Linked DNA regions of Drosophila melanogaster. The protein of the gene in region 1 interacts with the protein of each later gene in a pairwise test. Each region holds a gene or a part of one and is shown on either strand. Other genes may lie near its edges.

Region 1 (4,586 bases):
ATCGAAGTGAACTGCGCCTTTGAAGTGGCCGAGCAGCAAATACTCCTATTGGGCTGTAACACGGGACTGTATGCGTATCACTTGGACTCGCAGCGATTGGTGCACATTTCTGGTCTCGAATCGGTGAGCTGCATGTCCATTTGCAAGCGCCTGGCTAAGGCTATAATGGTGGGCACAGTTGGCGAGAAGCTATATCAATGTGACTACCGCCAGCTGGAGTCACGCTGTCAGAGCTCCAGTTCGTGTCACAAGCCTGTGCTGGAAACGTCGGCCATTGAGCTGCCATTTGCCAATCGCACGCCATCGGAGAAATGGAAACTAGTGCTGATCTCCGATGAGGCGGAGAACGCATTGGATTCGGTGGCTATTGCGGCCACGTCCACTAGGATTGTCATCTTGAAGTACGACCTTAAGCTGCACATGTTTAAGCCAGTTCGAGCCTTGGACACGGCCACGCCGGTCACATCCATATTCTTTACGCGTCACTCGGCCATTGTTAGCTCGGATAAGTTCTACGAGATCGATTTGGACAACTATGCGGCTGAGGAGTTTGTGGATCTGTCCGATAAGTCAATGGAGAGCACTGCCAAGTGCCAGCCCCTAACTGCGGTGCGCATCTCACGACAAGAGTATCTGCTCTGCTTTGCCGAATATGGCGTCTTTGTGGACGAGTTTGGCTGCAGATCCAGGCCGTACGATTTGAACTGGGTCTATGCACCCACTGGATTTGTTTACCGCGATCCATTCCTATTCATATCGCACTATCAAAGCGTGCAGATAGTCCGTTTGCATCGGTCGTTCAGCAAGGAAATGGCCAGCGGGGATAACGCATCGGAGAATTCGGAATCCCCGGAACTGCAGCGCGTCTACTTGCCCCACTACATGTCCACGCTGCTGGCCAACAGCGGAGATGTCAATCTCTATGCCGTGGCCATCGATCAGAGGCCCTGCAATGGAACACAGAAGATCTACCATCTGGACACGATGCAGGCATTCAAGCAGAAGTTCAATATCTCCATGGAAACGCTGTCTTCAGTGGCCACTTCTGTGACTTTGGGCTCGACTGTCACCGGAAATAGCATATAGATGAAGGATATATATTAACTAAACGAATGGACAAAGCAAAATACTACAAACTGAGTAGTTGTAGTTATATCTAGGGTTAGGATATGCTATACATTTGGATTATTATTATTTTAACTTGTCAGAACATATGTTTTTTCACAATCTTTTTCATGTGTAACGATTGCCTAAAATCACATGGCAGAATCTTTTAAAAATTACTTAATTTACTCTTTAAATACTTTGTGCTGTATACACAAATAAAACTTGAGATTTTGATAAAAAAGGTAATTCATATTAAATTAATATATTTATTTTGATCACTAAAATATCGAAGCATATTAAAGGAAATATTTTTTAATTAATTAAAGAAGTCGCATAATATTTTAAATCAATTTTACTATGCAGGATAGCTTTTCGAATAGAATAGTTGGGGGCATGGAGTCGACGCCAAGCTTTTGGGGCTGATCCCACGCAGCTTTTCGGCAGCAGCTTTCAATGTCCCGCAATTCGAAAGCCCCGGAAATGGAATCGTGCTCTCCGCTGGCATTACTGCCATCGTTGGCTTGGCCGCTGGACGCCGGACTGCTGCACTGCCGCCGTCGCAGATTGTGTTAATTGATTTCAATTGGCTCCACGCCATTTGAGTGGCCCGTTGAATCTCCCGACGATGCCAGCAACGATGTTTGATTCCCAGCTGAGTTTGTGCGCGGGTCGCATTGTCGCCGATTCCACCACCACCACTACCTCCGGCATGGATGGATGCGATGGTGCCAAGACGATGATATGCCGCGCTTGTCTTGTGCTACTGGGTCCGCAGGATGCGTGTCACAATCTGGACAGCGAACAGGATCTGGCCAGCAAGTACTACGGCTGTACTGGAGAGGATGCCGTTAGGGATTTGCCACCCCAGTTGGTGCTGAAAAGCATCTGCGAGTGCTGCTATCAGTTGGTGCAAAAGTTCCACGACTTTCAACGCATGTGCGCAGAGTCCTTGCGCAATTTTGAGAAGCTGCTGCAGGACATCGACATCGGATGCCACAAACTGGAGGACCACACTTGGCACGACTTGGACACCCCCTCGGAGAGCAACGAGTCCACTAATCCGGAAGCCCAGTCGCACGCACCCTGCATCGCAGCGACGCAGGAGATTGTGAGTTTTATCTGGCCACAAGTGTGCCTGCCTCTGGCCGTAATCTTATCTAGAATCACATTGGGTGCTTCGCTCGAGGTGTGTTGCCTAGCAGCCAAGCAAAGACAATACTGCTCCCCATTCCCCGCCATAAACAAAAACATTTCGACAGCGTTTGTTTGTGTTGTACTATTTTTGTTTGGTGGGTGATAGCACTCGAAAAGGAGGCACGTCCCAATCTATTGGGTATTTTTAAATTTTCCACTAATAAAATTGGGAAGATGGCAACACGCCTCGATTTATGGCTCCTCCAAATAAGAAAGTCGATTTTAAAGGCCAGTTTTATCTAGAATAGATAAATGTGTTCCCTAACTTTCACTCATTTTAGATATTATTTATAGCGCCTTTAATATTTTTAGCATTAAAAAACTAAACTAAACAGATAAGTGACCGCCAAAAGTTCGGTTCACAAAATATTACTTTCATTTTATCATCTTCTAAGTCGAGCGATAAGATAATCTTAATAGCAAATTAAGGAAAAATTTCCACTTTAAAGTAATGAGTAAACATAATGTAATTCCTACCCTTACTACAAATTACTTAACTCAACCAAAAGCAGTTTGTTTTTATATGCTTAGACCCTTTTTACATAAAAAATTCCTTCATAATAGATATGTACAGAATTCCCACAAAAAAAAAAAAAAACCACCACCATTCAGTTTGCTATGGTAATTAAATATATAATACCCTAAATTTTCCAGGAGGAAGTCTACGTAATAGAGGACGAGTCAGCCAAACAGGATCTGGGCCAGGAGAAGCTATCCATTTCTAGCAAGTTGCTGGGTGCCAGAAAACGACGAGGAGTGCGACACACCCTCGAGTGCCGAATTTGCCACCGTGGCTTCTACAAACCGTCGCTGCTGGAGGCCCATATGCAGCAGCATGAGGGTCTGAGACCGTATACCTGCGTCCATTGTGCCAAGAGCTATGCCCGGGCCAATCTGCTGGAGTCGCACCTGCGGCAGATGCATAACAATGCCGACGCTGCGCGGATCATCTATGCCTGTCCGAGCTGCAACAAGGTGTACACAGCGAACCGAAGTCTCAAATATCACATGAGAAGGACGCACGAAAGGTATCACGAGTCAGAGTCCCCGGATGCGCGGCACATTTGTGAGGAGTGTGGCAAGTGCTTTGCGCGAAAGGCACATCTAACGCGCCACAAGATGGTCCATGGTAGCGTTGAGGGTCGGAGATACTGCTGCGAATGCTGCGATCGCAGATTCTACACCAAGGAGAACATGGTGGATCATCTGCTGCGCAAGCACGGCAATAAGAATCTGCTGCTCAGATGCAGAAAATGCGGACGCATTTTCCAGAACAGCGTGGAGCTCAACGCTCACGGGAGGAAACACAAAGCGATGGATGTAGTTCAATAATTCGTTTTATTTGTGGTTTCAATAACATCAAGCTAACACAACTGTTACAATGATTCGAATTACTTGGAATTTTGTTATGCCAGTATTGTGGGAGAATGCCGCATAATTGGAGATACTAAGACGACGCGAATGGTTGACGAATCGATGAGGCTGCCCTAAAATTAGCTAACATTCACATAATGGCCGGCGCAGCAGCATAGTCGCTTAAAAATCATCAGTACAAAAAAATGGCGATGGCGATGGCGCGCACTCGCAGTAGTTCTCAAAAAAGTAATCATGCGTATATAAAACAATTAACTAAAATTTATCCTTAAGCTTAAAGAACGGATGACAGTTTTAAAATTACATTACCAATACATTCATTTATCATTAATTTGTAGGGAGGAGGAAAGAAATGAGAATAAAAACCAGATTATCCGTCAATCGATCGACAATTACATAAGAAACGCACGGGGTCTTTTGCCAAATGAACTATCAGCATTGAACGTTGTTGAAATTGATCTGGTGATCCACTTAACTGATGGTACTGTGTTACGGTGGTGATTGATGATTGGTTTGTTGGTTGGCAGTAGGTCTTCGGATGAGTGGAGTTGCTTGCACTATATGTAAATAAATACGCCGCAATATGAGCATAGGATATATGACAACGAATTGCCAAACTCTAGGTGTCCTTGTGCTTCTCGTAGAAGGCGTCTAGATATTTTTTGTACTCCTTTTGGTCATTCCACATCATCGCGGCCTGCGCATTCAGTGGACTCTCGTTGTTCGGTTCGCCCAGCAGGGATTGTATGGACAGCAGAATGGTGCGCACATCGTACAGGGCCGACCATTTGTCCTTCAGTATGTCCAAACAGATGGCGCCCTGCAGATCAACATTGGGATGGAAGCAGGACGTCAGGAACTTCACCACGGGTGCTGCATACGGATAGGAATTGGGAAAATCCAGTGACAAA
Region 2 (3,857 bases), on another chromosome or scaffold:
GCGTCCCTTTTATTTGTTGTCCGGAATTATTCATAATCTATGCATTTCCAGATCGTTTTAGAGAATATGCTGCCCCAGCACATATGCGCTTGTTGTCTCCTGGACCTGACCCAAGCCGTAGCCTTCAGGCAGCGATGCCTGGAGACGCACGCAAATCTCCACCAGAGGATCTCCTCGAAGGCGGGTGTCGCCTCAAAAGGCTCCCCGGAGGTTTCGCCAGTGCTTAGTGATCCGCTGCTGAAACGGGAGGTGCTGGATGATACAGTAGACACCGAGGACGATAAGGAGCTACTGGACGATGATAAGGATTTAATGGATGATGATAAGGATTTCTTGGAGGACGAAAAGCCGATTTTAAGATATCCTCCGGCCAAAAAAATCCGGATCGAGGACCAAAATTTCCCGAACAGACAGTCCCCACGAGTCAGGGTCAAGCGGCTTCGTGTGCCTGTGGTCGAGAAGGCAGATAGTCCACCGCCACCTCCGCGGGAGCACGTCCGAAAGCCCAGAAAGCGGCGACCAAAACCCAAGGTCGATCGCTCGATAAAGCGATACGTGTGCGACCAGTGCGGTTGGTCGTTCAACGATCACAGCAACATGAAGGATCACAAGCTGCGGCACTTCGAGGAGAAGTTTTCATGCGACGAGTGCGGTCGCAAGTTCTACACCATGCCACTGCTCCGATTGCACATTCGAGTCCATCACAAGGGCGAGAAACCGTACGTCTGCAAGTTCTGCGGTATGGGATTCGCCAATAGTCCCAGCCGCTGTCGTCATGAACGGTGAGTGCTGGCCTAATCATCACAAGTCCTTATCTATATAAACCATAAAAACCTTGACAGTCAAATGCATGCCAACGAGCTGGTGCACCCGTGCAAAATATGCGGCAAACGATTCAACAGCGAGAAGGGACGGCTGAAGCACGAGGAGGGGCACAAGAGTGACCAACCGGATGTCCATATGTAAGAATCATTGAAATATACGTAGCCATAGATGTACAAACTCATATTCTTTCACAGCTGCCTCACATGCAACAAGGAGTTCAAGGAGGCGCAGTTTTTGCATCGGCACTACTCCACAAAGTATCACCGCAAGCGGGTCAACTTGCTGGTTAATGGTCCAAAAGAGGAATTCCAGTCTGAAGTCGATCCGGCGGAGTTTCCGGGATATATGGAAGAGGGGCAGGCAGAAATGGAGGACAACCAGGCTGAACTGGACGTAATGTTAGATAACATTGACGAGGAACAATATGAGGACCACGAGGTACTTCAGGATGAGGACGCAAATTTTGAGGACTTCGAGTACGAGGAAGCCATTCCCGATGGAGAGGAGCTGTACACCTAACTTTAAGCACACAAAAAAAATCGACTGTTGGCGCCACACACTCCACACTCCACACGCCACAATGCCAGGGATGCAAACTATCTGACTTTTTCGGTGGTTCAGAGAAATCCTTTGAATCACCAGCCAGCCGTACGATTAGCACCAGTGTGGAAGGAATTCAACGTCGGTCTTAGATTACAATTTGTTATAAAATATATTTTATTCTAATTGCACAGCGCGCTTATTTTAATAAAAATTATATGGAACCAATTTCAAAAACGTCAGGAATTAGCCGAACGTGTGTTTTAGCTTGAACCTCTCTTTTTGGGAAAATTTAACCTCCCGTTTATAATATATAAATTTTAAATTATAAAAACTAGCTCGATGTTCCCTGGTTTCTAGGAAATAAGAACAGTTAGTTTTTCCACACCTATCTGGTAACGCCATGAAACAGGTAATTCATACAAATTTTGCTGCTTAGAGAGAGTAAACAGAAATTCTCGGATTGCGTACGCTCTTTTACCGTTTTTATTCCATAATTGACAACATAAAATCAATTAAACTACAGCTGATTGTTTTGGGAATTCAGCGGGATAAATGATCATATGTTTGAAATGAAAAAGCCTTCGCAATGCCATTTGTGCGCCTCGTGTTTCTGTCACCTGAATCCCACGATAATTTTTTGCCTGGAAGTTCTGGCCAAGATCAAGGATCTCACTGGAATATGGGTATGTTGATGGTTTCTTGTGTGCGTGAATGGCATAACCCATTTACTCCATTTACAGTTAGAACAGAATGAACGCCAGCCGCGTCATATTTGCCCATCTTGTTTAAATGACTTGAACACATCGATTAAGTTAAAGAAGCGCATTCAACGAGTTCACAATGAAGCAACGCTGAGGCGGGAATCTGGGCTTGATGAGGATCTAGAAAGCACTGTATCCGATATAGAGCCAGAAGGGGATTCCAGTGACTTGGAATCGGAGGAATCATATGATTCAGAAAACTATCCATTTGACAAAAAAGCAGAGGAATCCGATATTGATTTAAATCTCGCCCATGAGGATAGGAGAAACGAACCACATAATCCTTATGATTCGGAAACCCCCTTAATATTTAAGCATAAAAATCCATTAATTGAGACTCCTTCATTTGCAAATGAAAACTTGCCTAACAAAGTCGATGCAAAAAGCCCAAAAAAGGGAAACTTTATACAAATTGGAACCGATCTGAGACTACTTACAACGTATCCCTCTATTAAGGTAGTAAAGCCCCTTGCATTAGCTCCAGAAGATGTGGCAGCTGAGAATGTACCCCCTGCAAAAAGGACAGCTCGGAAAATGCAATCCCTGGTGTGCCCTAAGTGCGGAAGGGTCTTTAAGACTCCATACAACCTAAAGACGCATATGGTGCGCCACACGGGTGAGAAGAACTTTCCATGCACGTTCTGCGACAAGCGGTTCGTCACCAAGTATCTGGCTCGTCTACACGAACGAGTGCGCCACATGGGCGAACAGCCGTTTGAGTGCAACTTCTGCTCGGCAACGTTTTTCACAAGTACAGCTAAGTCGAGCCATGAGCGGTAAGTCCTTACTGCAATTGTATTTAACTTTAAAAGCGCTGACATAAACAATTTCCTAACACTATGACAGAATACGGCACATCAGAGATCTGAGGTACCAATGCGACCAGTGCACCAAGAGATTCAATACCAAGACCTGCTTGAATAAGCACAAGTTCCTGCACTCAGGTCTTAAGCCCTTTGAGTAAGTGAAATGATATGAAATTTGCGCATATTTAATACAAGTCGTGTATTTCCCTCTCAGCTGCGTTATTTGCCAAATCAACTTTGCCCGAAAGGCAACGCTAAGGAGTCACTTCGATTCGGTTGCTCACCAGAAAAGAGCCAGCGCCATCCTGGAATCCGAAGAGCATTGATTCGCCAAAGAATTAGAGATCGTTTTTAATTCCGTCTTATAAGATGCGGGATATGTAGATGAAAGCACGACTTGGATAATTCTGAGGCTCAGGATATCTATTAGACATAAATGTTTGAACGTATTCTCACTGTTTTGGCACTGGATTGCCCTTCGTTTGCTATAACTTTTTTGTATTACATTTTTGTCATTTGCTTTTCCTATTATGAAGTAGTTTCTTTAAGAGTGTAATATTTGGACAGCCATTCATTTCGAAATGTTAAATACCTTACTATTTAATTAATCGTTTTCATTTAAAAACAGAAAACTTATGTATAATATATATTTTTAATTCTTTTTTTGAAGTGGTAAATATATTTGGTAATTCCTATTTGCCACGAAAAGCAAATGCTTGGAGTATATTCCATAACGACCCTTGAATAAAAGGCGCCATTTTCAAATTTTGGCGCCACCGCTTGGCAGTCACCCAGAGACGCGGACAACAACAACAGTTCGCTGCGAATGGCCCAAAATGAAGCAGCAGCTGTTAATAAAGCAAGGAATTTTGGCTCGAAAAATAACTCTTAAAAATGACGCCACAATGCCGGTTGTGTGGAG

The links.
Region 2: the proteins of CG10654 (region 1) and CG17801 interact in a two-hybrid assay, tested with the Drosophila melanogaster proteins (2 studies listed by BioGRID).

Annotation. Positions count from the first base shown.
Region 1 is NT_037436.4:12,504,857-12,509,442, reverse strand, and holds CG10654 (uncharacterized protein), read left to right. Parts: upstream 1-1,602; 5' UTR 1,603-1,732; coding exon 1,733-2,293; intron 2,294-2,955; coding exon 2,956-3,633; 3' UTR 3,634-4,069; downstream 4,070-4,586. Other genes in the region: sti (sticky), read left to right, coding at 1-1,086; vih (vihar), read right to left, coding at 4,295-4,586.
Region 2 is NT_033777.3:17,805,141-17,808,997, reverse strand, and holds CG17801 (uncharacterized protein), read left to right. Parts: upstream 1-1,912; 5' UTR 1,913-1,928; coding exon 1,929-2,051; intron 2,052-2,108; coding exon 2,109-2,905; intron 2,906-2,975; coding exon 2,976-3,089; intron 3,090-3,149; coding exon 3,150-3,261; 3' UTR 3,262-3,319; downstream 3,320-3,857. Other genes in the region: Odj (oddjob), read left to right, coding at 52-782, 843-962, 1,020-1,344; Nnk (nicknack), read left to right, coding at 3,830-3,857.